Rhinolophus ferrumequinum: one gene and its partners. The protein of the gene in region 4 purifies or fractionates together with the protein of the main gene of each other region. This does not show direct contact. Links are inferred from orthologs where the notes say so. Each region holds a gene or a part of one and is shown on either strand. Other genes may lie near its edges.

What was found.
Region 1: the proteins of C12H9orf78 (region 4) and EFTUD2 purify together in Homo sapiens (affinity purification with mass spectrometry; 3 studies listed by BioGRID and IntAct, with this or other methods). This does not show direct contact. The link is inferred for Rhinolophus ferrumequinum from reciprocal best matches to the Homo sapiens genes C9orf78 and EFTUD2.
Region 2: the proteins of C12H9orf78 (region 4) and PRPF8 purify together in Homo sapiens (affinity purification with mass spectrometry; 4 studies listed by BioGRID and IntAct, with this or other methods). This does not show direct contact. The link is inferred for Rhinolophus ferrumequinum from reciprocal best matches to the Homo sapiens genes C9orf78 and PRPF8.
Region 3: the proteins of C12H9orf78 (region 4) and AAR2 purify together in Homo sapiens (affinity purification with mass spectrometry; 3 studies listed by BioGRID and IntAct, with this or other methods). This does not show direct contact. The link is inferred for Rhinolophus ferrumequinum from reciprocal best matches to the Homo sapiens genes C9orf78 and AAR2.

The regions. Positions count from the first base shown.
Region 1 is NC_046304.1:39,769,664-39,777,293, reverse strand, and holds the start of EFTUD2 (116 kDa U5 small nuclear ribonucleoprotein component), read left to right. Parts: upstream 1-4,624; 5' UTR 4,625-4,745; intron 4,746-7,630. Other genes in the region: Ig-like V-type domain-containing protein FAM187A, read right to left, coding at 1-524; CCDC103 (coiled-coil domain-containing protein 103), read right to left, coding at 1,549-1,998, 2,639-2,771, 3,168-3,310. UniProt on the Homo sapiens protein: Required for pre-mRNA splicing as component of the spliceosome, including pre-catalytic, catalytic and post-catalytic spliceosomal complexes. Component of the U5 snRNP and the U4/U6-U5 tri-snRNP complex, a building block of the spliceosome.
Region 2 is NC_046304.1:16,246,111-16,253,269, reverse strand, and holds the start of PRPF8 (pre-mRNA-processing-splicing factor 8), read right to left. Parts: upstream 3,001-7,159; 5' UTR 2,871-3,000; intron 2,676-2,870; 5' UTR 2,665-2,675; coding exon 2,565-2,664; intron 2,053-2,564; coding exon 1,884-2,052; intron 939-1,883; coding exon 774-938; intron 683-773; coding exon 464-682; intron 333-463; coding exon 120-332; intron 1-119. UniProt on the Homo sapiens protein: Plays a role in pre-mRNA splicing as core component of precatalytic, catalytic and postcatalytic spliceosomal complexes, both of the predominant U2-type spliceosome and the minor U12-type spliceosome.
Region 3 is NC_046306.1:19,429,963-19,437,371, reverse strand, and holds the start of AAR2 (protein AAR2 homolog), read left to right. Parts: upstream 1-4,391; 5' UTR 4,392-4,527; exon of another isoform or gene 4,528-4,820; intron 4,821-4,965; exon of another isoform or gene 4,966-5,256; intron 5,257-7,166; 5' UTR 7,167-7,217; coding exon 7,218-7,409. UniProt on the Homo sapiens protein: Component of the U5 snRNP complex that is required for spliceosome assembly and for pre-mRNA splicing.
Region 4 is NC_046295.1:78,220,624-78,227,823, reverse strand, and holds the start of C12H9orf78 (splicing factor C9orf78 homolog), read left to right. Parts: upstream 1-4,189; 5' UTR 4,190-4,243; coding exon 4,244-4,326; intron 4,327-4,659; coding exon 4,660-4,719; intron 4,720-5,543; coding exon 5,544-5,595; intron 5,596-5,814; coding exon 5,815-5,885; intron 5,886-6,403; coding exon 6,404-6,481; intron 6,482-7,200. UniProt on the Homo sapiens protein: Plays a role in pre-mRNA splicing by promoting usage of the upstream 3'-splice site at alternative NAGNAG splice sites; these are sites featuring alternative acceptor motifs separated by only a few nucleotides. May also modulate exon inclusion events.

The DNA of each region.
Region 1 (7,630 bases), on a different chromosome or scaffold from region 4:
TCCCAGAAGGTGGTGAAGACGTGGAGGCTCCCATAGTAGTCGTCGGCAAAGGGCTCTTGGCCCTGGTCCTTGAAGGTGGCCACCATTCCCTCACTGCTCTGGATGTCCACATCGTAGGCGTAGAAGTAGTCCCCCTTGCGGGTGCCACAGAAATACAAGCCTGAGTCCTCGGGCTGGGCCCGGAAAACCAATAGGCTGAACATGCGAATGCTGAAGCGGACCAGCATGTCACTGCCCACCCGGACCTGGGCCGCCTCGGTCAGAACGCGCCCATCAAAATCCGTCAGCACTTTGGTGTGGCTGCTACCGAGATGCTTTTGATAGTACCAGACTACCGCAGACACCTCCTCGGGCTTGCAGTGGCAGGGCAGCTCGAAGCTCATGTCGGCCAGGTAGGCTGCATTGTCGAACATCAGGAAAGCGGGGCAAGGGGTCCTCTGAAAAATATTCTCCTTCTCCACGATTTCAAAGGCCTGGAGACTCCCCCACGCCCACAGCAGCACAGTGGTGTGGGCCAGATTCATGCGTGCACGAGGGAAGGCTCAGAGTGGGTAGGGCAAAACCAAGGCACTCAAGGCGTATGGGGGCTTCTAGAAATGACTGCCAGAGGAGGCATCTATATTAAGAAAAGATTAAGCCGCCAAGAAAAGCAACCATCTGCAGGGGAAGTGGCCAAAGGCAAGGCAACCGATTCCCAGCTGATGTACGAGATGCCCTTCTAATGTGACAGATGTGATCTCAAGGGAAAACCATTCTAGAACCTGGCCTTCTCTCTCCTTTCTAGAACCCTGACACTCACCCAAGAATGGGTCAGGAGAAACTGGAATGAGAAGCAGGGCGCAGGGGCTAGATGGAAATCTCTGCCTCCCTGCTCCAGGACCTGCCCCGCCTGCCTGGTGGGTAGGTTTTCCCTTTGGGTAATCCCAGAGTTGAAGGAAACCCACCCACCTGCCCATCTGGCCATCTGAAGAAGCCTGGGAGGCTGGCCAGACTTAAATTGATGGCGTGGGGCTTTTCCAGGCTCAATCTGCCCAGGAACTCAGCCCCTGGGATAAAATACCGCGCCTCAGATGAGATAGCATTTGACCGTGACCGTTTGTCAATTAAATGTCCATTCATTGGTTTTAGGTTATAAACAGTCTCGTTAAGAGCTATGGAGGCCAGTGTTTCTTCATCATGGAAGATTAATGATTTTGCTTTTTCGTTTCTTGGGTGGAGGCTGTTAACTGGTGTGGCCAGCATTTGGTTGGGCACGTGCCCATCTCTCAGGGCTATGGGCCACGGCCTTGGCAAACACTAAGGGCAGGAAGCAAAGCTCTTTTAATTTCCTGGGCCCTTGACCATCCTGTGGACCCACACAATTTAGAGTATCGAGCCACCGAGGGGCTGCAGAAGAGGGAAAGATTGAATTCGGGCTTTTACTCTGAAAATTCCAGGTTGAAAGGGAATTAGGTGTGGACTTCTTACTACAGTCCTGCAGAACCCCAAGACAACAATCAAAAAATGCCTCCAGCGACCACTGGGGACCTCTGAAGGTAACTGGTCCTATCAATCCACCTGGTACAGCCCTAGCAGCTCTTGCAGGAGCCTCTCCTCCTCCTGGAGCCCACCAGGCTGCTCCAGACCCCGCTCCTCCGGGCTGAGCCCCTCCTTCACGGGCCTGGGGGCGCCCATGGCTTGCAGCTTTTGAAACAAGCTTCTGCAGCTCTGTCTCTCCACCTGGCTCATCAGGCTCAGGTTCAAGGTGAAGCGCCCGGTACCGGCCAGGCTGTGCAGGATCCCTAGCACCAATGACCGGTCAGCCAGCCTCACGTGATCAGCCAGCACCACCAGCATCTCCCCTAGAAGTCCAAATCCCACATCTGTCTGGAAGAGGTGTCCCAGCTTGGGACCCCCGAGCTGTAGCAGTGCCTGGTAGCGCTCTGGCCCACTCCGCAAGTATCGCCGCCAATCACGGTAGAACTCTGCTGAGGTCTCAGGCTGCAACAGTGTTTTCTCCTAGTTCACAAAAGAAGGAAAGGGAATTCAGAGCTCTTCCAGCTGTTCTGCGACAGTAAGAGTGAGGGAAGCCTGTGGGTTTTCACCTTAGCTCTGGTACTGCTCTCTGAGCACTGGGAAGGCTGTGGTGGCTGGGGGACTCATTCTCAGATGAGGGAAACTAGCGGTGGAACAGGGAGAGAGGGTCCCAAAGAACCCAGGCCATGATTTGAGATTCTTAGTTGTACCAGGATTTTCTTACTGATGAATGTGAGAATAAGTCAGGGTTTACTCTGAGCAGGGCCGAAGGGATGACTGAAAACCTCAAGGTGAGTGTTAAGGGTCTGACAGGCTGGGTCGCCCTCCCAACACTGCCACAGGACCATTATACTATATACCATATAACCTGGAGCACCCCAAATCTGATCTGTGCATGCAAGTCAAAGGACTGCCTGGAGGGGACCTGCGTGGCCTGGCCACCTTCCTGACTTGTTCTGCCCAATGTAGCTCAACCCCACCATCTGCTGGGTGCTTTCCTTTCTGGGATTGGAGGCAGAAACCTGCCTCTGTTGGTTTAACATGAGAAATAAGGAAAAGGTACGTGTTGTAAGAGGATAGGACTGGAGGTTTAGGGCAGAGAATTCTGCTGGGCCTCACCGACCTGACAGATCTCAGTGGTTTCATCCAGGGAGGTCCTTCCCTGAGTAGTGTGACAGTTCCAAGGCACGGTCCTCTTTCCTCCTATCTTATCCTTCCGTTCCAGTGGCTTCAGATGTGATGCAAGGACAATACCCCTGTGGACAAAGGACAGAGATTAGGGGATGGACCTAATGGTGTCTGTGGGTGTGAGGTGGCTGGACTTTGCATGATATTGGCTGAATCTGTTGGCAGGCCAGTATGACAATAACAACAACAGCAACAATAGCTGACAGCTTTTAAGCACTTCCCATGTGCCAAACATCGTGCTCAAAAATCTTACATATAATAACTCATTTAATCATAATAATGGTTACTCTCTTTTACAGATAAGGCATAAAGGCACAGAGAGGTTAAATAACTTGCACAAGACCACACAGGTAGCAGAGGGTAGAGCCAGGGCTGAGCTCAGAATTGTCTGACACCAAAGTACGTGCCCTTATCCACTAAAGTCCACCATAATAGGAGCGTCTGAAAAATGGCATTAAGCCAACCTGAATTCTTCATAGGAAGCCACCCTCTGTTCCACTGCCCGTAACTTGGCAGCATTCTCCCGTTTGTACTTCTCATCAGCAGTGAGTGCAGCCTGCAGCTCTTTCTCCAAAGCCTTGAAGTCGATGATGTCATTCCTTTCCATGGCCTGTGCCTGGGAAGGCAAAGGGAATGGACATCAATGGAGGATCAATAATAGGGGGAAGAGTGTGCATCTGGATTCTTTGCCAGGCCACAAAATAACCAAAAACCACTCTGGATATCTTGTCACTTATGTTGGGGGGGGTGTTACAAAAATCTGATTCTCTAGTGAGCGGAGCTGACGTACACAGTGAGAACTTACTTAAGACTTGTTGTCACTCAAAATAGAGTAGAGTCCTGAATTTCAATTTGGAGCCCAATGTTAATTTTGTCCTCTGCCTCTAAAAATATTTTATTATTGGTGCTTCAGCTGAGGAAGCATTTGGATCTCAAAATTCAGTCCCTTCACTCTTCCACATGGTCTCACTCTATAGCAATTATGAAAGAAGACCTCGCACAAAAGCAGAACTATTGTTAGCTACTCTTGAGCCCAGGGATACAATTTCATCCATAATTAAATGTCTTTAATGGGGAAGGATATTTTTCACCCAAGCCAGATGCAAGGACTGAGCAGGAAAACAAGTAGAAGTGGCAGGCGAAGGGGCTGAATGATCCCTGTCCCCAAATCTTTCCATCCAGTCCAGGGCTGGATCACAGGACCCTAGATATTTGGGCGACCTCTTTAGTTCTATCACTGTACTTCTGCAGTCTCCGCGTATCTGAGGCTGATTGACCCGTTTTATAGGGAGATCACCTAAATGGGTTCTAGTCTTGGCTCTGGCGTTTACTTGCTGTGAGACCCCTTTGAACCTCAGACTCCTGGTGCATTGAGCTAGATTTTGTGGTGGAGTCATCAACAGCCTTAGGACAAAGAACCGAGAGGTCTTCAACCAACCCCACAGTCCTCCCCTTCCACCTCAACGTGGGTAAGCTGAACACCAAGAAGTGGGCTGGGCTGGCCAGGAACTGAACTCAAGTGTCCGGCTCCTGTCCAGTTCTGAGCCCTACCCAGTCATTGAATAAATAGAACAACTAAGCCTACCGCCCCTCTGACCTTCACCCCAGCAGCCCTGGCTTTGGTTCCCTTGCTTTCTTTGGGGATCCCCAGATACGCCGGGAACAAGGTAGCTTAGCCTACCACCCGCAGCAGCTGTGGTTGCCCAGCAACTGCTCCAACAGTCTGCCCACGTGATCGACCTGAAGGCCCCCGTTCAGGATGGTCCCGAGGCGCCTGATCAGATTCAAGCCTCCTCAAGCCTCATTCAATTTGGAAAAGCTCACGCCTTGGTTTGAGGATCCACGAGTCCACCTTGCCAGTTCCTGCGTCCGCGGTCGGCATTCCTCCGAGCTGGTCCTCAGGCAGAGGGCTGCCCTCCGCGGCAGAAACGCGACCGCGGCGGCTTCGGGGTCCTTCCGGACAGCGGGCGCAGGCGGCGGCCGTGTGAGGCGGAAGCGCGGGGCAGCGGCCTACCGGGAGCTGCTGGCTGAGCAGGCGGGAGGTGAGCTGGCGTGGGTCAGCGGCGTGGGGAGGTGGCTCCGGGTGGGATGGGAAATTACATAATGTCAGATCTGGAGGATCTGCCCCTTTCACTTTACAGATCGGTAAATTGAGGCGTGGAGCGGGAAAGGGAATGAAACACACCTTCTCCCCAACACACACACACTCAGATCCCGAGGTTCCCTCAGTGTAGTCCATCCGTAAAATCCCTTACGTGGGCAGGGGTCGTTCTCACTGTTCAGCCCCCCTCTTTCACTCCCTCTTCCATCCGTGCCTTCTTCACTCCTTTGCCCAGCTCCCTCCGTCCTTATTCTGTATTCCTTTGAGAGCCTGCATTATAGCGGGAAGCCGCAGTGAAGTTTGGTACCGCAAGTCACTAGTTTTGTGCACCTGTGGGCAAGTCAGCCCTCTTCTCTGTGCCTGGCTGGAGTCATTCATTCACTCAACAAATATTGAGGTCCTGTTTGTGCCAGATACCGTTCTAAGTGAAGGAGGGGAAAAAATAAAACAGTCCTCACTTAAATTGTAGTTGGAGAGATGACGTTAAACACATGACTAGGTATATCTCAGGTAGTGATAAATGTTAATAATAACAAAAGAGTAAAGGTGGGAGTTGGAGAGTATGTGTATGGGGGACTCTTTTAGAGTGGCAAGGGAAGGTTTCTCAGAGAAGGTGTCATTTTAGTAGAGACCTGAGTGACATGAAGGAACAAGGTATAAATATCCAAAGCAAGAGCCTTTAAGAAGAGAATAGCAAGTACAATGGCCCTGAAGCAGAAGGAGCTTGGTTTGTCCCCGGAACAGCCTTCTATAAAAATTTCTTCAGTCACTTCATGAGTTTTAGGAGAATGAAATGAGCACAGATGGGACAGCTCTTTGGAAGTAAAAAGAATATGCACGTGAAAGTTTCCATAATAATTTACATTTAATTACCATGTTTTCCCGAAAATAAGACCTAGCCGGACCATTAGCTCTAGTACATCTTTTGGAGCAAAAATTAATATAAGACCTTATGTTACGTATAAGATCTTATATATAAGACTTTATATAATATAAGGTCTTATGTTAGATAAGACCTGGTCTTATTTTACTATAAGCAAATAAGAATATATAGTAAAATAAGACTGGGTCTTATATTAATTTTGGCTCCAGAAAACGCATTAGAGCTGATGGTCCGGCTAGGTCTTATTTTCTGGGAAACACGGTACTAGTCCTTGGAGCTCTTAATTCTCTATTTTATCTACAACCAGCACTCAACAGGTGGCATTGAGGGAGGTGGAGGAATTAACTTAGTGTAAGAAATAACAGTATCTCAAAATTAAACATTGCATTCACTTAACATTTATCCCGTTCCTACTTCCGCAAGGTACGTTGGCCAGTGGGCACACGGAACACAGGATTCCTGTGTTTAAGAATGGCCAAAACATAATGCTAACTAACATTTATTGAGCCTGTGACTCGGATAAATTCTTGACAGAGACTATTTTGTTTAATTCTCACAACCTTTCATGCAACGGGAGTTAGTCACTCCATTTTCCAGTTGAGGAAACAGGTTTAAAGAGGTGAAGTAACTTACCTGAAGATACATAGTTATTAAATGACGAAGTTAGGATTCATATCCAGCTTTTCCCATTCCAGAGCCCAGGCCCTTCACTCGTGCTCAGGTCTGTTGTTTATTACTTGTAAGCTGTAGAGTTGTTGCTGAGGGTAATTGGTACAGGTAACTACCACTCCAAACAATTCAATGCTGATAAAGGTACAGAAGGCTGTAGCGGCATAGGGGAGTGAGAGATTGGGGATCTAGGAAAGCTTGAAGGAGGTGGCATTGGAACTGTGCTTTGAATAGAATTTCAGCAATTGAAGTGGAGAAAACCCACAAAATACTTACTCATTGCAAAGAGAAAACTTCCCAATAGAGTAACTTCCCAATAGAAAAACCTGGCAGACACCGATGTAATCAAATGATTAAATTACCATCACCACTAATGGGACAAATTAAAATCATGTACCATGTGATACTAGGAGATGCACTAAAAAGAACACAGCATCACTTCTGTGATATTTCTGCCAGAAATGCATGACTTGAATCTAATCATGAGGAAGCATCAGACAAACTCAAGGAACATTCTACAAACTCACTAGCCTGTAATCTTCAAAAGGGTCGAGTCATAAAAGTCAAGGAAAGACTGAGGAGCTGTCCCAGAGTGAAAGAAGCTAAAGACGTGACAACTAAATGCAAGCATGCAATCCTGGGTGGGATCCTTTGCTGTGCAGGACATTATTGGAACAGTTTGTGAAGCTTGACTGGGGGTCTGTGGATTAGGTGGTGGTTATGTGTCAATATTAATTTTCTGATTTTGATGGTTGCATTGTGATTATGTAAGAAAGTGTCCTTGTTGGTAGGAATCACACACAATGAAGCAGCGGTTGGCAAACCTTTTCTAAAGTAAATATTTTAGGCTTTCTGGGCCATATGGGCTCAGTTGCAGCTACTCAACTCTGCTGTTACAGTGTGAAAGCCTCCGTAGACAATATAAATGAATGAGCGTGACGGTGTTCCAAACTGACGGTGTTTCAGTTATTGTAGATACTGAAATTTGAATTTCATACAATGGATTGATTTTCACGTATCATGAAAAAAATTTTTCATTTTCCAACTATTTAAAAATGTAAAAGGCATTCTTAGCTTGGGGGCTTATAAAATCAGGCAGCAGGCCAGATTTAGCCACAGGCTATAATTTGCCAACTCCTGCACTAAAGTAGTGGGGTAATGAGGCATTGTGTCAGCCACTTATTCTCAAATAACTTAGGAAAAATAAAGTTATTTTTACTATTTTTGCAACTTTCTGGTATTAAATTATTTTAAAATTAAAAAGTATTATTTAA
Region 2 (7,159 bases), on a different chromosome or scaffold from region 4:
TACAAAATCAAAGACGAGCAGACCAGTTGAAGAGTTTGGAAGTTACAATGGATCTTAAGGATCGAGAGTAGATTTTATTCAAGCCAAGATGCCTAAAATCCCTACTCTCTCCAACTTACTGTAGGTTGATATCTCGAACAAGAGGTTCAAATTTGGGGCCTCCAGGAATGGCCATATTGAGTGCCTTGGACGTAAAGAAGGCCTTCAGATCAAACAAATAGAAGTAGTTGTCATCTACCAAGTCTGTCAGGAGCTGATTGGCCAGGCGGTAGAGAGTAGACATCATGGGCAGTGTGAACTGCCAGCGCTGGTAAGTAGAGCCATTCACATACCTAAGGGAAAAAAGACAGGCCCACGTCAGACAGGTATACCAGCTAGCCAAGCCACACTACCAACTGCTCTCTCAAGACCCCTGGACTTCCAAACCTCTCACAAGAGTGGTAATTACTCCAACCACACTTACTTCCTGCTATCCCTCAATGGCTGGTGGTCATAGAACCAGTCCAACACCGGGGCGTCCTCCTCAGGGTCCAGCTCTAGCTGAATGGCCTCCAGCGGCTCAACATCTAGGATGTTGTCAGCATAGTCCAAAGGTGGCTCCTCATCATCAAAAGGGGGAAAACGCATCCTCTTGAAATGCCTCCTGTCTCTTTTTTCTCGCCGCATCATAATCCACATTGACCTGGAAGCCAACAATGTCACACAACGGTTTCTACCCAATGCCTCCCAACCACCACCACCACCACCACACGCCGTATTCCGGCCCTTCTCACCCCCACTGGGAGATGTAGACAGGTTCAATGACCCAAGGAATCTCATTGACAAAGGAGATGGCTCCAGTGATGTGGTATAGTACAGGCACATCCCGAATCTGCTCCCAAGGCATAGGCATGTTCTCCAGGAGTTTGAGGACTGCATGGGGCATGTACTTTAAGGCACTGCAGCATTAGGAAGAGATGATTAGAAATCACAAGATGTTCTGTTACCTGTTCCACGAAGAGACGCAACATGGTATCACAGTATCATATCCCACAGAAAATTCTGCCTTACAGTCCAACTCCCAAATTTAGCACACAGGCCCTCCATGACCAGGAACTCTGCCCCCACCGCAACTATGCCAGTTTTAAACTTCACAGTCCCACAATACTGGGTTTCAGTCCCTCTAAATCTACAGCTCTCCCTCTAAAGGCAGCTTTTAAGCTGTCTCATTTTCTATTCTCTCTGTACTTTCCCATAAATAATAAAGTATTCAGATACTTTACTGTAACCGTTTGTCTCATGTCTGTCATGCCACTAGACTATAAGCTCCAGAAAGACTACCACTTCCTGTTCCCTGCTAGGTGCTCCCTTGCACCTAGCAGTTCTCAAGAAATAGTTCTGAAATAAACAAAACTTCCATGGCTGTCTTAGACTAGTTCATTAAGTAGCTAACATTTTTATGTCCAAATGGGAAAGGGATTTGCTACGGCATTTGTACTCACCCAGCTCAGACCACAGACAAACAAGAGTATAGAGACCGCAGGAGTTAACTATTCCCAAACCTGAGAATTCTGGTCACTGAGGAGTGAGAGGCAAGAAGAATGCACAAAGTGTCCTGTTCTGGGCTTCAACCCATTCAAAGACAGGGACATCTTAGCATAGTACCAACAGCACAAATTAAAGCTCCAGTCCCAGATCAGGAAGTAAAATCTGGACCATAATTGGAAGATCTGGAAACTATCACAGGATCCTAGTGGTTTCCTCTCTTCTAATCATCAAGACAGGCTGTACTAGAAGATTAACGTCCCAAATGATAGAGCAGCTATCCAGGACTACAACTTATAGGACAGAGAGAAGGGAAAGGGGCCAGACTCCAAAAAAAAAAATTCCAGGATGTTCTTTACCCCAAGTAGACCCTTTTGTCATGGCGAAACTTCCTGTTGGTCATGTCTCCATGGTCTCGAATAATCTTCCTGACATGTTCTGGGGGCATGTCTTCCTTCTGAGCATCCACAAATCCAAACTTCCGCTTTTCCGCATAGCGCTTGGCCTGTAATTGCTGCCATTTTCGGGCTACAAAGATACCTCAGTTTAAGGGACTGAACTCAGGTAAGGGACCCTTAGCCTACTCCTCCCCACCTCTTGCCCTAGGGTAGGCTCCCGTCAGGATGTATGAAAAAGAGGCCAGCATCCAGAAAGAGATTCCCAGCCAATTCTCTCATCAACTCGCTCTGCTTTATTTTTTCCTTCATCACGTTATCACTGCCTAGCATTTCTATTACAGATTTTTAAGTTTTTTATTTTCTATTTTCTTCATTGCAATTTAAATTCTGTAAGGGCAGGGATTCTGTCTGCATCGCTACTGTTATCTCCGTTGTTTGGATCAGTGCCTGCAAATAACAGACGCTCTTCAAGACCCGATCAGGTGAAAAAATAAATGGGGAGGGGGCTAAGAACCGCGCTAACGCCTAATGTTTTGACACCTGCCAAAACAAAGGGAAAGGGTTCAAACCCGATGCGCACGCGCGCACACCCGTCCCTACATCTCCGGGCCCGTAGGCACCGCTCCCGCATGCGTTCTTCACCTTTTTCCTGCAGCTTCTCCTCCGACATGTAGTCCGGCAGCGGGGCTAGAGGGCCGGGTACCGGGTTACCCGGCCCTCTGTAAGGAAAAACTCCGGCCATGTCCGGAGAATCTGGGGGGCGGCGGAAGAAAAAAATTAAGGAGTAACAGGGCCGGGGCCTACAAGAGGCGCAGCAGGAACGCGTCGATACCCGCGGCCTGCAGTACCGCCTCGCTCAGAGTAGGCACGGCCCGGCCCAATCCCTCCCGCCGCTCAGCCTGACCCCACCACGCCTCCCGCAGCCAGCCCTTAAAGCCCGCTACGCACCCCTACAGCCCCCCAAACTCGCAGCCCGCCGCTCGCTGGCACCGCAATGGCGGCAAGCCTACGTCCGCTTCGCGTTCCCAACGCCGGGAAGTGCGCAACCCGGGTTCAGTAGTTGACCCAATAGGCGCCGAGGTCCTCAGACAAGTTAGAGAACTCACCAATTAGAGTTGCATATCGGGCCGGAGGGGGCGGGCCCATGGGCGGAATTATTAGAATGCGAGGGGGTGTGGTCGGAGCAGGCGCAAGCCCCGCCTCCCGCGTTTCTGAGCCTGCTTCTGGGCCCTTTCATAAAGCCTCGCGGTCTTATCCGCGACTGTCCTCTGATCGTGAGAAACCCAAGCTTCCAGAGTTTTAATAAATTTGTCAAAATCTGCACATTATTCTGTGTCTAGTCTCATAAATGTAGACTTGAGATGCAGTACTAGCTCCAAGTCATCCAGTCCTTTGTTCATTCATTCATTCAACCATCATATATTGAGTACCCACTATGTATTAGTGGGAATATAGCAAAGAAAAAGCCAACCTCACTGAGTTCACAGGGTAGCAGGGATGCAAACAAGAACCCAGGTTCTTAAGATGTGTTGTGATCGGAGTTCGGGAGCAGAACATTTAATCCTGCCTGCCAACATAGAAAAATAAAAGGTCTTGGGGAACAACATTTCTGGGTGTCTTTTCCCTTCCCTCTCCAGTCCTCTTTTCTCTCTTTGGCAATGATTACACTATGGAGTTTATATTGGACAGCCTATAAATGCTTCTTGAGTCCCTCAGGCTCTGCCTGAATTGCTCTCCATCTCCTACAATCCTCCTACCATCCTTGTTTTACTTCCCATCCCTCTTTTTTTTTTAAGATTTTTTTTTCTTTAATTGGGGAAGGGGAACAGGACTTTATTGAGGAACAGCGTGTACTTCCAGGACTTTTTCCAAGTCAAGTTGTTGTCCTTTCAATCTTAGTTGTGGAGGGTGCAGCTCAGCTCCAGGTCCAGTTGCTGTTGTTACTTGCCGGAGTGGAGGAGTCGAACCAGCAATCTTGTGGTTGAGAGCCCTTGTTCCAACCAACTGAGCCATCTGGCCACCAGGGAGGTGACCGGCAGCTCACTGACTTCATTCTAAATGCAGAGGACGCAGCTCGCTGGCCCATGTAGGAATCCAACTGGCAGCCCCCTGGCCCACAGCTGACATTCTAACCAACTGAGCCACCCGTCTGCCCTCCCATCTCTCTTGCTCCATCCTTTGGTAACAACTTTCAATCTGACTTAACACATAAATTTGTTTGAATCACACCAAGTTTATTGTGGAGAATGCAGAGGAATTGTAACCAATACAGCCTCTCAATCTTGTTGGGAATTTGGGAGTCAAAGGTAAAATAGAGAAAAATACAAAGGAAGATTCCAGACAAGTTTTGGCTGGTGTGGAGGTTCATACAGTTCAAAGAAGGGAGAGGAGCATTATGAAAGGTTTGATGGCAATGGGTAGATTTGAAGGATTGGATGGGGTAGAGAAAGAGGAAGGAAAAAGGAATCCCAGGTAGTAGAAACTGCTAGAATTAGCATTTAGAAAGAGGCACAAACATGGCATGCTCTGAAAAGAGCTTCAACCTGGCTGCAGTAGAAAGTTCAGCAGCATCATCGTGTTCATCATTGTTACTGTAGTGAAGTCTTTACCACCTGTAGAAGGTTCACTATGTACCAGTTATTGTTTTAAACCCTGGTAAAATCCTAATACTGTCTATAGTTTCATTAACACTATTGTACTGCTAATGTCAATTTGTAATCATGCCAATAGTAATGTCGATTTCCTGGTCTTGATTGTCCTACTATTGTTATGTAGGAACTTCTCAAGTGGGCAAAGAGTACACAAGAACTCTCTGTACTATTTTCGAAACAGCCTTATTGAAATATAATTGGCATTCCATAAAGTGCACCTGTTTAAAGTACACAATCCAATGATTTTTAGTATGTTTACAGAGTTGTGCAATTATCATCACTATCTAGTTCCAGAACATTCTCATCATCCCTAAAAGAAACGATGTAACCATTAGCACTCACTCCCCATATCCTCCTACTTCCTCCTCCTCAGCTCTAGGCAACCACTAATCTATTTTCTGTCTCGATAGGTCTTCCTGATCTGGACATTTCATATAAATGGCATCATAGAATAGTGGTCTTTTCTGACTGGCTTTTTTTTACTTAGTATAATGTTCTTGAAGTTCATCCTTGTGTAGTATATATACTCATATAACTTTTTTGGAGAAATGTCTTTCCAGATCCCTTACTCATTTTAAAATTGAGTTGTTTTTTTAAATTATTGAGTTGTAGGAGTTCTTTATATATTCTAGATACAAGTCCCCTGTCATACATATGATATGGAAATGTGTTCTCCCATTCTTTGAGTTATCTTTTCACTTTGTTGACGGTGTTCTTTGAAAGACAAAAGTTTTTAATTTGTATAAAGCCCAACTTTTTTTTTTAATTTATTGGGGTGACAATTGTTAGCAAAATTACATAGATTTCAGGTGTACAATTCTGTATTACATCATCTATAAATCCCATTGTGTGTTCACCACCCAGAGACAGTTCTCCTTCCAACACCATATATTTGAAGCCCAACTTTTAAAATTTTCTCTTCTATTGTTTATGATTTTAGTGTCAAATCTTAGAAATCATTGCTTAATCCAAGTCACAAAGACACAATCCTATGTTTTCTTCTAAGAGTTTTATAGTTTTAGCTCCTACACGTAGGTCTATGATTCACCTTGAGTTAATTTTTGTACATGATATGAGATAGGGGTCCAAATACTTTCTTTTGCATGGGGATATTCAGTTGTCCTAGCATCATTTATTAAAAAGACTATTGTTTCCCCCTTTGAATTGTCTTGGCTCCTTTGTCAAAAAATAAACTGACCATTTGTTTCTGGACTCTCAATTCTATCCCATTGATCTATAGGTTTATCTTTATGCTATCTGTGCTATTTTGTAACTTTCATGTGAGCCTAAAATTATTTCACAATAAAAAGTTAATAAATAAATAAGCAATCAAAGCAATCTAACAAGAGAGTTATTATTATTACGATCCCCATTTTACTGATGAGAAACCCAGGCTCAGAAAGGTGGAGTAACCTGCCTTGGGTCACATGATTAATTGCATGACACATGTGTCAGGTTCTGTCTAACAACTTTATATGTATTAGTTCATTTAATTGTCACAATGATCCAATGAGGTAGGTGTTATTGTTAGCCTCACTTTATAGGTAAAAAAACTGAAGCTCAGAGAAATTGAGCCACTTGCTCAAAGCCCCACAGACAGTAAATACTGGAAACAGTAAAAAATGGCTCTGGAGCTTATGTTTTTAACCATACTGCCATATCATCTTCTATGTTCATGCTAAGAAGCATAGATAATGTTGGATGGCAAAATTTCAGCCAAATTAAAGCTGGTCTTGAATTCCAAGCAGAATTTTGATATTTTGCCAATGATTTGACCTACTTGACAATGATTTCCAAGCTTTTTCTTTTATAGCTAGGAAACACATGTGCAAATGAAATAATTTACAAATCAAGAAACTAAAACTTAAAGAAATTAAGTACTTCTCTTAATGTCTCTTAACTGGTCAAACACAGTCTGTCTGAGTTAGTCTGACGAAGCTCAATTGAGGAGGAAAAGTGACCAAGCCAGGAAAATATCTGAACAGAAAACATTAACTGCCATTATTATGGACCATTCACTGCAGTCAAACCAGTCTCCTCATTGTTCGAGGAGTTTAAAACTGAATGTGGAGGTGACTGCAGGTCATAAAAATGAAGGAGTCCTCTGGCTAGAAATACAGAAGTGGCAGTCTAGGAGCTGAGATGAGGGCTTGAAGCATCAGACTAAATTTGATACTAAAGCCATGAGAAAGAGTCAGTTCACAGAAGAAGAATAACAGAAAAGCAGATGAGGAAGGCTTGAGATACACACAGTCTAGGATAAGAGGATGCCAGAAAAAGCCAGAGCAAGAACAGCTGGAAAGGTCAGGAGAGGCCCACAGGGAGGAAGAGCTTCAAGAAAAGGAAGCTTATCCAGATAATAGCAAGGAACAGAAAACAAAGATTGAGAGAGAAAGGAAAGAAAAGCCCTCTGCCATGTTAGATAATTCAAGGGGTAGAGGAAGACTAAGACCACAAGCTTGACTAGGAAGAATTCTGTGACTTAGGAGAGCAGTTTCAGAAAGCTAATGGCAGAGGAAGTTTCCTGGTTGCCAAGGAAGATCATGAGGAAACAGAAGCGATGGGAATTGACCAATCCTTTGAACG
Region 3 (7,409 bases), on a different chromosome or scaffold from region 4:
TGAGTACCTACTGATGCCAGGCACTCTTCTTGGACTAAAGGAGAGAGTGGGGGGGCGGGGGAGGGAGGGCCCTGGGAAGCCCCTGAGCAAGCGTTATATCTCCAACCATGGCTGCCCCCTCTGAGCGCATCTCCACATTCTCTCCCGATTCTGGGACTTTGCCCAGGGATGTCCTCTAGAGGGCGCAGGCTTGCTGATCAGTAACCCCGAGGCTCTGCATGCTTAGCTGTTTAGCTGGTGCTCACCTGAGGCAGGACAAGGATAGTATGCGTCTGTGGGCCACATGGGATGGAGAGGGCAGAGAGCCCTGAACCTGGGCATCAGATGGCAGAGTCTCCGCATCCCCCACCCCCACCCCCACCGCTACCCGCAGCAGGTCGGTCGTCCTCTCCAACTCCCCCCCAAATGTGACAGCACACTTTCTATGCAGCAGGTTCTTTTTACAATCCTGGTAAAGAAGCCACAGAACCTCCTTCTTGCCCTTCTCAACCTGAGAGCTTCCACTCTTTCTGGGTCAAGAGCCGGAGTGGCTTCACCCTCTCTGGGCTACCCAGAATTTGGCTCAGGCACCCCTGTCTTTGCTGGAACCAGGCATCTGAACACACTGGACATCCTTCAGAGGGAGAATATTTTTTTCTGGGTTCTACACCTGCCTGCAGACCCGGGGTGTGTGGCTTCAGTGCAGGGATGAAGTGACCCGGCATAGCTCGTGGGCCAGCCAGGGTTGGTGGCAATCTCCGTCCCACAGATGTTCTGACTTTCCTTCCATGGAGAGGCAGGCAGCGCCACCAGGGAGGAGGGGAGCTGCAAAACTGAAATCTAGGACACTGTTTCTCCCCATCCTCCTCTTCATGGAATATAGACATTTGTCTTGTCTGTCTTCAACCTACTTTTCTTTTTTATATTTCTCATCCTTTCTGTGCTGCCTTTCCACCCAGGAGCCCATGTAGCATAGTGGAAAAAGTCCCAGAGGGCAGTCAGGAGTTCTGGGCGGCCATTCTGGCTTAGCCCCTAACTCACCCTGTGACATTGAGCTAGTCCTGTGCCTCATCTGGGGCCTCTGTTTCCCCACTTGTGAAATGAAGAAGATAAACCAGATGCTCTCCAGGGTCTTTTCCCCCCTCTGCCATCCTACAGATTTTCATTTTATTTTGCTTTCTCAGAATCTTTTCAATCTGAGGGTACAGGAAGTGCCAGGACCTGTCTCAGTTTTTGAATCCTGCAAGCACATTCCAAGACTGGCCTGAAATTGCATGAGCAACATCACTCCAATTTTTTTTTTTTCCAAAAGCTCCTTACCAACCAACTGAGATGCTGTCCTGTTCCTTTTTATTCACACCCCTCTCTCCTCTCTGGTCCCCGCGCTCCCCCACCTCAGTGCTCCGTGCTGTATGCGTGTGCTCTCTGTTCTTGTATACTCAATAAAAGTGAAATAAATGTGTTTGATGCTGAACCACAACTGCCTTGGCGCACATCTCTCTCCCCACACCTCCCCTCTCTCTCTCTCTCTCTCTCTCTCTCTCTCTCTCTCTCTCTCCATCTTTCACTACCAGTACAAGTTCGCATTTTGAGTAGAGCTGAAACTGGAGTGCAGAGATCCCAACCTAGAACACTTTCATTCAAGAAATGTTTGTAGCTCCCAGTGTGGTCCAGTGCTTGCAGTAGGCTTTGCAGGTGCAACAGCAAATAAGACAAAGTCCTCGTCCTCCAGGAACCCAGAGGCTGGTGGAGGAAACAGACAACACAACAGGCAGGCAGAGACAATACCCGAGTGAGGCATGGGCACCAGGAAGGAAATGCACATGGGGGGATGGTCACTGAAGGAGACCATCTTCAATAAGGTGGCCAATTACAGGCTCCCTAGGGAGGTTATATTTGTGAGCTGAATGAAGAGAAATATCCAGGAAGGTGAAGAACTTGGGCAAGAGCCTTCTAGGCGGAAGGAACAGTAAGCATGCGGGGGTGCCCCAGGACACGGGGGCTCGGTGTGTGCAGGAACAGCAGTCTCTCTCCTCCCTGAAAGAAGAGCACCTACCGCAGGGGCTCTTCCTGCACCCCTGCTCCATGGGAGCCTAGCGGATAATGTATACAGCCACCCTCCCTCAACTCCAGCCTTGGCCCACTGCCTTCACACGTGTTGCCGTATCCCCATATGTGCCACCTGGCTTGTTACTGACTTATCATTTTTCTTTAAATTGTGTAAAAAAAAATGTTTATTTAAAAAAGAAACTATATTACTTCCACAAATGGAAAACTATTGTCATTTGCCAAAGAAAGGAGGTCTTCATAAAAAGAAATGCAAAAATATTAAAAGTAATCCATGTAAAACTTAAACTCACCCCTTGGACTACCTGAGGTGCACGCACCAGCACTTTCCTTTTTATTCCACTAAGCAACTCACACCAGACTGCCTTTCTTTATTGCCCAAAATTTCACAAGCAAGAACACCGGTAATCATTTGGTGCATTTTCTTCCAGACTTTTTCCACGTCCAAGTATTTTTTCCAGATTTGAAGTTACCTTGTACATACCATTCTAAATACTTTTTAAAACTTAAATCCCGAGCACTTCACTGTAATTTCAAATACTAATACTATTTCTTCATTAAATTATACAGAATGCTATGCAGTGAAAAGCAATTCTTCAACCCTCTACAGACTCCTGTCTTGCCAAAGGCAATTCCTTCCAGGAGCTTTGTTACTCCTTCTCTGAATTTCCCCAGGTTTCCTTTAGCTATCTGTCACACTTGGGGTTCTGCAATAGGATTTGGTTTGCAAACATTGGGTCCCCACACGTCTTGGATCTGTATCTCTCTCTCCCATAAATACAGAGCCAGCCTCTGTGCTGCCTGGGAGTAAACTGTGTGTTTCATCTGTATCAGTGGTTCTTAACATGGGTGGGGGTGTGTGTGTTTTACCCCCCAGGGAACATTTAGCAATATCTGGAGACATTTTTGGTTGACACACTGAGGGGTGCTACTGGCATCTGCTGGGTAGAGGCCAGGGGTGCTGCTAAACATCCTACAATCACAGGACAACCCCCATAACAAAGAATTATCTGGCCCCAAATATCAGTAGTACCAAGGTTGAGAAACCTAATCTGGATGGACATAGGACCCACAAAGTGGGGTTTCCGGGACACCATCCACAGCTTCCATGCCCATAGTATAGTACCCTGGAGTCTCTGAGATGATGGCGAGCCTGGCTGGAACAGAGAGGTCTGACAACCAGACCAGAGAGCTCAGCACCTAAGACTGGGAATAGGGAGGGGCGAGGAGAGAGCTGAGCTTCTTCATGCCGGAAGTGGACCTGACACAACAGGCTGAGATTGGCGTCCATGACTGTAACTAATGGAAGCCATCTCTGGTTAATCCTGCAGCAGCTCATTGTGATTAACCATGACCGCAGGGTCCAGTCTGGTCTATACCCACTAAGAGATGAATTTTGACTGAGACAGATTGGCGTGTCCAGCTGTCACTGAGGAAGTATGACACACAAGCTAAGGAGTAGCAGCACAAGGACGAGACCTGGGTTTGCACCCTAGCTCCACCACTCTGACTGTGTAACCTCTCTGAGCCTCAGTTTTCTCTTCTGTAAGTTGGGAATACTAATACCTGCTTATTAGGGTATTGTAAGGTTTAGAAATCATATGCGAATGGCCTGCCCTGTGGATTTTGGACTTACGCAGCCAGCCCTCACCATCACATGAGTCAATTCCTTGCAATAAGTCTCATAATATATATCACCTATTGGCTCTGCTTCTTTGGTTGGACCCTGAGTGGTACAGCCACTCAGCACAGGGCGAGGCCCCAAAATAGAAGCCATTTATTAATACCAAATTACTGTCATTAATTAAATGCATAATATATATACTGAGCTGAACCTTTGTGCCTATTTTGTGCTAGGTTCCGGGGAAACAGTAGAGAACAAGACAGGCAGGTAACCACCCTCAGGGCACCGATATAGCCTGACTGAGTTATCAGCTAGGTCTGTCCTGCCAGAGGATATTGGGTGATTACGGATGGAGAGATTGACACGGTGACTACTATGGCTGAGACTGGTTCTCTCTAGTTTGGGAGCTGGGTTTCTAAGGCTCTCTCTTAGTCCTGAGTGTGGTTGGAAGCTGAGACTGGGTGATAATAAGCCAGCTGTGACACTGTCACTCAGGTAGAGATTGGCTGACCAGGACCATGACTGAGCATCTGACTGTGGCTACTGAGCAGCCATGACCTTGACCCCAGCTTCAGTGACCAGGACTGAGATCAAAGGACCATGGCTGGTGGATGTGTTTCTGGAGCGGGATATAAAAATGCACAGTTTGACGAAAGTTGTCATCCACGGCTCAGGAGCTAAAACGAGTTAACGAAAAGCAAAAGGTTTTATGAGGCGGAATCTGCAGGCGCGGACCGTTCCTTCCGTGACCAAGAGCTCTGCCGGGCCGCTTTTCCCGTGGCGCTTGTCCTACGCCTAAGCGGTACAACTTCCGGGGCGTTTCCGCTGTGTCTGCGCGGGGAGTGAGACCGAGGCTGGTGAGTGCGGTGGTTTAACTCCTCTGCTTCGTTGTCATTTGGCGGGGCCACCCCTCTGTCCCGCTCCGGATCACGGAGTGCCCTGAACTAGGGCGTCTCGCTGGGACAGCCGCGTCCCGATCTGTGGGCCAGTGGTGGGACGCCGATGTCTCTGCAGGCCTGTGCCCGAGAAACCGTCGCCAGTACTTCCTAGAGCACCCGGCGTAACTTCCCTTTTTTCTTAACTTTAGAACTTGGGGGCCCGACACATTGGCTACGTCCGACGTGATTCGGTCCGATTCTCTGTAACTTAGGTAAGGTCTTTCTCCGAACTGAGCCTTTGTTTCTCAACTGCAAAACGGATATCATGTTTTTATTATTAAAGCGTCTAATATGTGCTAGAGGTACAAAAAGACTGAGGTCTCATGGAGGTGACTGACAGCCCTCTATTAAATGTAGGCAAAATTGCAACCTTGATAAGTGAAATGAAAAGGCACAAGACGCCATGAGTGGATCACACAGGAAACCTGATCTAGCCCAGCGTCAAGGAAGCTTGACCGAGGAGGGAATATTGAGATCAGAAAACCGATTTGACAGAGAGGGGAACGAAGAGTTCTCTCTCCAGAGGAGCCTCCCGTTTGAGTGTCTGAAAAAGATGTGACTGGAACAGAGGGCTTGGTGGGGGATCGTGTTCTGAAACAAGCGTAAGGAGTTGCCAGGAAGCAGACCATGCACGCCTTGGAGGTCATGGTAAGAATTTTGGTTCTCCAAGAGCCACATGGGAAGCCACTCACAGGGTATTAAGTGTGGGTGGTGACATGCTTAGATTGGCATTTTGTAAAGCTCACTCTGGCTGTTGGATGGAGAATGGATTGGAGGGGCAAGCACTCTGGGTGAGGGATGTGGTAGCTTAGATTAAGGAGGTGGTGGAGAGAATTGGGTAGATGTGACTTTCTGCATTCCAGGGCTGCTTCTCTGTGCCAGGACATGTGTCAGCTGCTGAAGATATAATGACTAGTACAGGCTGGTGGAATTAGAACAAGAGGAATGTCATTATCAAGGAGGAGCATACAGGTGCCACTACTGTAAGGGAAAGTAGCTAATCGATGAGCACTTACTCTAAAAGCAGGAGCTGTTCATTTAGCAAATATTTATTTAAGTACCTTTTGAAATCAGGTTTGGGAATAGGAAGATGATGATATATAAATTATTTAGAACAGTGACTTTCAGACTTTTTTGACTGTGACCGATGGGAACAAATACACTTTACGTTGCAACCAAAAGGACGTACAAACCCACAAAGCTTCAAAAAACAGTGATTTATACTACACCCGCTGCGCTTTGATTTTTTTTAAAATTCTGTTCTTTTTGTTTTAAAAAAATTAATGCTGGTTGAGACTCTCTAAATTGATTTCTTGACCCATTAATGAGGTGTGACATGAAGTCTGAAAAAAAAATGCTGATGTAGAATGAGAGTCATTTGTAGTGTTTTTTAAGTTAAGACGGTAAAATAGGCCCTTAACATTTTTGGAAAAGGGTTAGTCTTCTGTTCCTCACTGTTTTGTTTGTTTAAAAGAAAAAGTAAAGAGAATTAAACAGGCAGTTGGTTCTTCTGTTTATGAAATTTTGGGCTCTTGTTCGTATGTCTGGCTAGATTGGAAGTACCTACAGGACAGTGACCGTCTTCCACTGGATGTTTTATTAAGTGCCTGGTAAAGATCCTGGCACAGTGCAGGCATTTAGTGATTATTTGTTAAACTGAATAGGTAGGTGTCTTAGGACTAGAAGGTTAGATGATTGTTTGGTTTAAGTTAGTTCATGTTGGAACCAGTCTTATAAATAAATACCACGCAGGCAGTGTTTGTCTGCCTACAGAATTTTTACAGTGTGTCCTCATGGGTTGTCCAGAGGTAGGTAAAATAAATGTTCTGAGCTCTTTCTCTTCTAAATACTGGTCCTAGGCCAGCCATGCCACCTGAATCCATTCTGGGCTAGTGGTCCAGAGCTGCCACTGACTAGGCCCTTTGAGAAGTTGTTTCACTCCTTGGACTTTAGGTTTTTATGCATAAAAGGAGAAGGGGAGGTTTGTGGTTAACAGACTCTTCACCTCCCCGATCTAGTGTGAATTTTAGATGCTGAGCATCCACTTTCCACCTCTGTCCATTTCTGGGCCTTCCCTGAGGTTTGTGGGAAACTGGGTGTATGCTTGATTTAATCATCCTTTTCAACTCCTGGGTTTCTCCAGCAATAGGTTAGGCAGAGTTATAGGTTAGAATGGACCATCCAGGCTTTCTCCACCTTCATCTTCTGTTGGGAGAGTGATCTGAGAGCAGATCCTAAGTGGACAATGAACAGAACACTGGCCTGGAGGGCAGGGTACCCAGGTTCTAATTTGTGTGACGTTGAACATGTCACTTCTCTTTCATGCCTTTGCAGTTATAAAGTGAGTGTTCTTGCTCATTAAACCAAAACACGAAAATCCTCTTCTCTCTTTCTCATTTTTCTCATGTATAAAGCTGATGTAGGGTTGTGTGAGGAGATAACTTCTGGGAGATAATTATGTCAGGAGTCTAATTCAGTATCTGACACATAGAGAATGCTCAGCAAATGAAGTATGCTTCCCCAACTTCTGATGAACTCTGATTTCTTTCTTTTTTCAGCTATTCTGAAAGACAAGAAGGGTTCTCCTTTTGGTCACCCACCACTGGTCCATGGCTGCTACGCAGATGGATCCTGAACTTGCCAAGCACCTCTTCTTTGAAGGGGCCACTGTGGTCATCTTGAATATGCCCAAGGGGACAGAGTTTGGCATTGACTACAACTCCTGGGAGGTGGGGCCCAAGTTCCGGGGTGTGAAAATGATCCCACCAGGCATCCACTTCCTTCACTACAGCTCTGTGGAC
Region 4 (7,200 bases):
GACACACAGCAGGCGACTGATGCATGGTAGTTCTGATTCACAGTGCTACTTTCTGAGATCCAAGCTCACCTCCTGGTACTTCTGACATCAATGTAAAACCAGGGAAAGTGGCCCCAGGACACGAAGCAAATCCTTACACAGCTTTCCTGTCCTGAGGCAGCCAGCACCTCTGCTGCCAGCAACTTGCTTCTTTCTCAGTACAAGATGAGAAGCTGTTTCAGATAAAAGGCACTCAAGAGATATGACAAACTTGGATCCTGGATCAACGGGAAAAAGGGGCATTAGTGGGACAGCAGACAAATCTGAATATGGACTAGATATTAGATAGTATTTGTTAGGGACTGAATTGTGTCCCCTCCCCCAAATGTATATGTTGACGACGTCCTTACCCCTCAATACCTCAGCATGTAATCTTATTTGGAGATAAGGTCTTTAAAGAATTAAGTTCAAATGAGTCTTTAGGGTGGACCTTGATGCAGTCTGACTGATATCCTTATAGTAAGAGGAGTAAAGTTAGACACACAGGAGGCATGAGGATGCACAGAGGAAAAACCACGTGAGGACACAGCAAGAAGGCAGCTGACTGCAAGCCCAGGAGAGAGGCCTCAGAAGAAACCAAATCTGTTCACCCCTTGACCTTGGACTTCCAGCCCCCAGAACTTTGAGAAAATACATTTCTGATGTTTAAGCCACCCAGTCTGTGGGACTTTGTTATGACTGCTCCAGCACACGAATACAGTATTATATCAACATTCAAGTTTCTGAAGATGAAAATTGTTTTCTGGTTGTGTATTATAATATCCTTGTTCTTGGATTATTCCACCTGAAATATTTAGATGGAAAGGGTCATGATATCTGCAACTTACTTTTAAATGGATCAGCAATAATGATGATGATTCTGAGCATATAAATATAGGAAGAGTAAACGGCAAAAATAATAATTGGTGACTCGTATGAATGGGATTTCATTATTATTCTTGTAAGTTTGATTTTTTTTGTTTTATTTTTTATTTTCTTATTTTCCCCCCCTTCTTTCACCTCCCCCCCACACACACACACTCTGGTTCAAGCCATCGTTTCTCAGTCTAGGTGTGTAGGACACAGCTCCCTGGGACATGCTGGTATTAAAAGCTTTGCGCTCCCCTCCGCCCTCCGCTGATGCAGTCGGCCGCCGGTCACCTCTCCCCGTCTGCCGGCCACCAGCCACTCATGCTGGCCGCCGGCCACTCATGGTAGCCCAGGGCAGCCCATAGCAGATGGCAAGGACCTCTTGCTCGTGGCAGCCCAGGTACAGGGAGAGCCGTTGTTCACAATCTTAGCTGTAGAGGGCGCAGCTCACTGGCCCATGTGGGAATCGAACCATCCACTGCAGCTTAGGAGCACGGCGCTCCAACAACCTGAGCCACCAGGCTGGCCCCCTTGTTTTGTTTTAAATAGAAACTTTTTAAAGATTCCCTTCCTCTTGTTTCAGGTGGAAGCAGGGAGGGGGTCTTTTGGAAAAGGTAACCCTAACTCCACAACAGAGCTCCAGGATCCAGCGCCTACTCTGAGCCAGGCACTATGCCCAGTGGTCCCCCTACACTCAGGTAAGGACCACTATTTCTTATCTTAGAGAGGAAGGATGGAGGCTCCGAGATGGGAAGCCACACAGAAAGGGACACAGCTAGAAGTAAGCCAGGTGTATCTGCGTTCATAGCCCTTCCCAACCTTCCCTCTGTGCAAATAAATGGAGTGCACATAGTAGGCGTTTCATAAGACTGAAAGGGGAAGAAACCTGCACTCCTCAGAGAACCGGATGCTGGGAACAGGACCTCTCGAGAGCAGCTGGATGACTGTGCTGTCGGGAGTCTGTGCGGTGCCCGCCCCACAGCTGGTGCCCAAATCGCCAGCCAAAGGAGTTAGGCTTTTTCCACACCCATCCCAGAGCACATCTCCCTCCTGACCCACCAGACCCGCCTCCTCTCTTGGGGATGAACAAGCAGGAGGAAAGGAGGCAGGATGGCAGGTCTGGCAAAGAGCCCGTGCATTCAAGGACCGGGTGAGGCTTCCAAGATGCTTCATCCGGAATAAGGACAGGCACTTTTCCCTCCCTGGGGCTTTCACTGAGTGAGGAGGAAAGTGCCTCCCGAGGGACGCGGCAGGCAGGCAGCATATCCGGGCCTGGCACCAGCTGCTGAGACCAGGCCTCAGGTGCCCATTACTCATCATTTTCCTGGAGGTTCTGGCTCCATCGTCCTCCCAGCCAGGAGCCAATTTCCTCTGGACAGGAAAGGTGACACTGCCACACCCCCCATTAACATAAGGACACCCACCTGCCCTGATCCTCACCACATGAGCCCTGCCACACCCCACACACCCGCGCCCACACCCCTCTGCCCCTCAGAACATGTACCCTTTCCCTCCCTCCTGCCCTCTTCTCTCCAGTAGACTTCCACGCAGCTCCATTTTCCCTAAATCCCAAATACATTCCTTCTTTTAACCCAGTCTTAATTCACTGAGGGTCCACCATCCTTCTGATTCTCAAAGGAGAACCCTCAGGCACCTCCTGCCTTGGCAAGTCCTGCTTCCCACGCATCTCCAGTTCTCCTCATTTGCCTTCCCCACCTTGCCTCCACCCAAATGGCCCCTGCATCCTGGAACTGATATTAAGAGAACTCACTAAATCCTCATAACCACCCTGGGGGATGGCCACATTGGGAGCTAAACCCATTTCCACCTCCACCACGAAAAGAGGAAAGACTGAGGCTCAGAGAGGTGGTGTAACTGGCTGGAGGTCACACAGCAGCTACTGAGCAGCTTTTGACCAAAGCCAAAAGGTTCCAAGAAGTCCTGAGTCTACTATTTGTCTCAGTCCAAGGGAGAGAACAACAACCTCAGAGGAGACTGTTCCAGAGAAAAGTAAGGCATTCCATAAATGCTGCCCAGCTTCCGAATGGTCTTCCCAAAGAGGGAACCCCAAACAGTCTCCACCAGTACCTCCCCTCAGCCAAAGAGCTATAATAACAGCAGCTTCAGCAAACATTTACTGAACTCTTACTGTGCCAGGCACTGCAAAACGTGCCTCTTTGAAGCCCGGTATCCTCATTTGCAAAGTGAAAAATAACTGAATCTACTTCATAGGATTGTTGGGAGAGTTCAATGAGATAATGCTTAGCCCAGTACCTGCCACAGAGTAAGTGCTTAATAACAGCTAATTCTTTGTCAAAGGAAAGGACCAGCCGAGATTGAGGAAAGCAAAGCCACTATTTATGCCTGGAGTTATTTCCTAAGCGTTTGTTTATGCCCTTTTTTCAAATAAACTGAATCCTCACAGCATCCCTGGGGTAAAAGGGGCAAAAGGTAGAGCGATAGTCTGCGTGACAAAGGACGAAAACAAGGCCCCCGAAGGTCCAGAGAGACGGCCGGCAAGCACCCGAGGAGGGGCCCTCTGTCCTCAAAACCCTCCCGAGTGGGTTCAAAAGATCAGACGCGCCTCTCCTCGGGGAGAAGTGGCTGGAGGTCATTATTAGCGGGGCAGTCGGCGCTGGGGCTTTAATTCACCGCCGCTAATAAGTGGTCATCTTTTTGTCCCTAAAGAGAAAAAAACACGTCAGGGCCCAGACCCCGGGGAAATATAAGTCAGCGCCCCGAATGCCACATGCGTGCTTTCAACGCTGGATCAGGCCCTGGCAGAAATAAAGGACATGGCGGCCCCTGTCCCGGAGAAGCAGCGAGCCCCCGGGAGCTCGAAGTAGGGCGACGGGACCACAAGGGACCCCCTGGGCGCTGGACGGAGGAGGGGAATGGGCGACAGCGTCCGGGGGGTCCCGGGCTCCGCTCACCTAGCCGCGGCGTCCAGCGCACTTGGCAGGGCCAGGCCCCCGCCGGCCCGGAACAGGGATTGGGTCGCCCCTGCTCCGAGAGGCCAGGCCCCCCGAAGCAGCCCGCCGCAGCCAGGAACTCACCTGCCGTCGCTACCTCGCCGCCTCAGCCTGTCAGTCAAACGCGCCCTCCGCTACGCCGCGCAGGGTCCTGGGGCCGGCTTGGCCGTGCCCCGCCTTCTCTTCCTTGGCTTCCCAATCGGAAGACGCCGACACCATCAATGGGGGCGTGGCCAGGTGGGCGGTGCCAGGCGGGGCGGGCCCAGGTAGGGCTTGGGGCGGGGCCAGGCGGAGCCGGCGCTCTGACCGCACTGCTGCGCGCCGGAAGCATACTAGGCCTTCGCGCAGCGGCGCAGCGGCTGGACCGCAGGGCTGGCGCGGTCATGCCGGTGACCGGGAAGACTTTCCGCCGGCGCCGGGCCGACTCGGAGTCGGAGGAAGATGAGCAGGACTCAGAGGAGGTTCGGTGCGTTTGGGGCGGGGTTTCCGCGGGGCAGGAAAAGAGAGGCCGACTTGGGGACCACCGGCCAGGAGCCTCGTTGACCGTATTTGCTATGAGCCGGGATTGTTGTCGCGGGAGAAGTTGAGGGTCCTAGTGATGTGGTCGCCACCCCCAAGGCCGCGCAGTTAGGAGAGTTGTCTCCGGGATGGGCAGTGGATCTGATGGGTCTTGGCGCAGGTTCGCCTTCCGTACCACTGTGCCCGCGGCTCAGCAGCGGCTTGGGGCACGGGTCGAAGCTGCTTTTTGACTCTTGAGTTCTGCGGAGGGTCTCTCAGCCTGCGTATTGCCTTTTTTCAGATTAAAACTGGAAGAGACTCGAGAGGTGCAGAACTTGAGGAAGCGGCCCAACGGGGTGAGGTGGGTACCGCGGGGGAACCTGGAGGAGCAAGGGATGACAGACACGCCCCTGCCCCGGTCGCTGTCACACATACCTCCTCAGACATAGCCCCTTTTCTTGACACACTGTACACCTTCCACTGCCCTGAAAGGGGTCTAGCATTCTTTGAAAATATTTAACCAGGAGATGCCCTGCACGGTGTGGTCTGCAGGTTTGCTCTGAAGGTGCAGAAACGGGTCAGTAAATAGCACCTATTAATGTAATTCTCCCACCCAGAGGTAACCAGTGTTATCATTTAATGTTCTTTCCGATCTGTATTCTTTCTCTGGTTTGTAAAGGGTAGTAGGTACTTATATGCTATTTTCAACTCTATGACATTGCGGACATTCACTCACATTGTGGATTATTTTCCCAAAAACCTTTTTAACGGCAGCATAACATTCCACCAAATGCATGTCCCATAATTTAGCTCATTCCCTATTTGAGGACCTGTAGGTTGTGTTGTAAACTTTCATCAAATAAGGCTGCAATATCTATCTTCCGGCATTTGTCTTTAGCTTTATTTTCCCTGAAGGCAAAATCTTAGAACTGATGTTTCCAAGCCAAGATAATGCCAAATGGCTTTATAGGAAAGTGTACCCCTTCACCCCGCCCCCAGCATCTAAAGTGCTTGTTGAGCCCTATTTCATTCTTGCAGGCTTTTCCAGCTGGCTTTGGCGCCCATCCCTCAGATCTCACCCTTGCACTAATGTTGCAACCTACAAACTTTCTAAACGTTCTTCCACATCTCTAAACTATGCCATTCCTTCCCTTTTACCCACCTTCCCTTTTTGGTTTTGCTCAGTGCTGTGGCCCTGCTGGTGGGAGAGAAGGTACAAGAAGAGACCACTCTAGTGGTAAGTTGTGGGGTCCTCCGTGAGCAGTGGGAAGATGTGGATGCTCTTCAATGAGTGATGGTGTTTTCTTTAAAAAAAGAAAAAATCCACTGCCAAGTATTAGGTTGGTGCAAAAGTAAATGTGGTTTAAAAGGTTAAAAATAACTGCAAAAACCACAATTACTTTTTCAGCAACCTAATATATAGATGTTTCCTCTTAGCTGTGTTTGTGTTCTGCAGGATGATCCCTTTCAGATGAAGACAGGCGGTATGGTGGACATGAAGAAACTGAAGGAAAGGGGCAAAGATAAGTAAGTGCAGAACACACTGACATACAGATTCACCTGTATCCCTGCTAGGGTCTGTGTGCCCCAGAGAGCTGGCCTGCAGTAGTAGCTTTAGCGGGACATCTTCAAGTATCCTTTGTGCTTTGTGCAGGGTTTCAAAACGAAAGAACACAAAAACTCTTTAAAAGTTAGCATAGAGAGATGTGGGTACACTCTTTTTGTAAAGGTGCATTGTTTTTTTGTCTTTCAAACCCATGTGGATGTTTCATTTTTCTTTTTTAAGGAAACATAAAAAAGCACAATTATAAAAATAGCACATTCAAACAATACACGAGTAAAAAATAAAATATCTGTTCATTCCCCAGAGGAATCTCCAGAGGCCAGCAGTTCACTTCCATATATTGATTTTATTTACGTATCCTATATATATTTTTCCCACTATAAACAGGATGATAAAACATGCATATTTGTCTTATTGCTATAACATAAAACTCAGCCTGAGCTGTGACTCGAAGGCCCACTTCACTCTCCTCTCCTTTTAGGATTAGTGAAGAGGAAGACCTCCACCTGGGGACGTCATTTTCTGCAGAAACCAACCGAAGGGACGAGGACGCTGACATGTAGGTGTCAGTCTGTTTGACTGTGAGCAATTGAGGGTGGGCTCCAACCAGATACAGTCCAAGATATTTAGTCACAGATGACATTTCTAGAATTATCCAAAGACATCAAAGTTGGCCCTTCTTGCCTCCATATCTGAGGCTGGAAAACTTTGAAAAATGCCTAAAAGTTCTTCAGAAGTGGTTCTTGAGATTTTAGATTCCTTGACTAGTAATATTTCCCTAAAACATTGCACAGATAAACATCAGACTACCCACTTTTTATTTTGCCAACAAGGTTGTTAAACAACTACCACCTATCATGTTTCCCCGAAAATAAAACTTAGCCAGACAATCAGCTCTAATGCGTCTTTTGGAGCAAAAATTAATATAAGACCGGGTTTATTATATTATATAAGACCCGGTCCTATTTTACTATAAGACGGGGTCTTATATTAATTTTTGCTCCAAAAAATGCGTTAGAGCTGATTGTCTGGCTAGGTCTTATTTTCGGGGAAATACGGTACAATTATTTTTTTGTCTTCGAAGAACCTTATGTTTAATAATGCCAGTAGAGTGTAGGACATAATCTCATCAGTTGGTGCTTTTAAGTTGCAAATTTTAGCTTCATGAAAACACTCGTTACTTTTGTTTTTGTTACCTCTCCATGGGCTGATGAAGATTTCATGGACCATCACTGCTCCATGGGCCAATGTTGGGGACCACTAATTTAAAAGACGCCC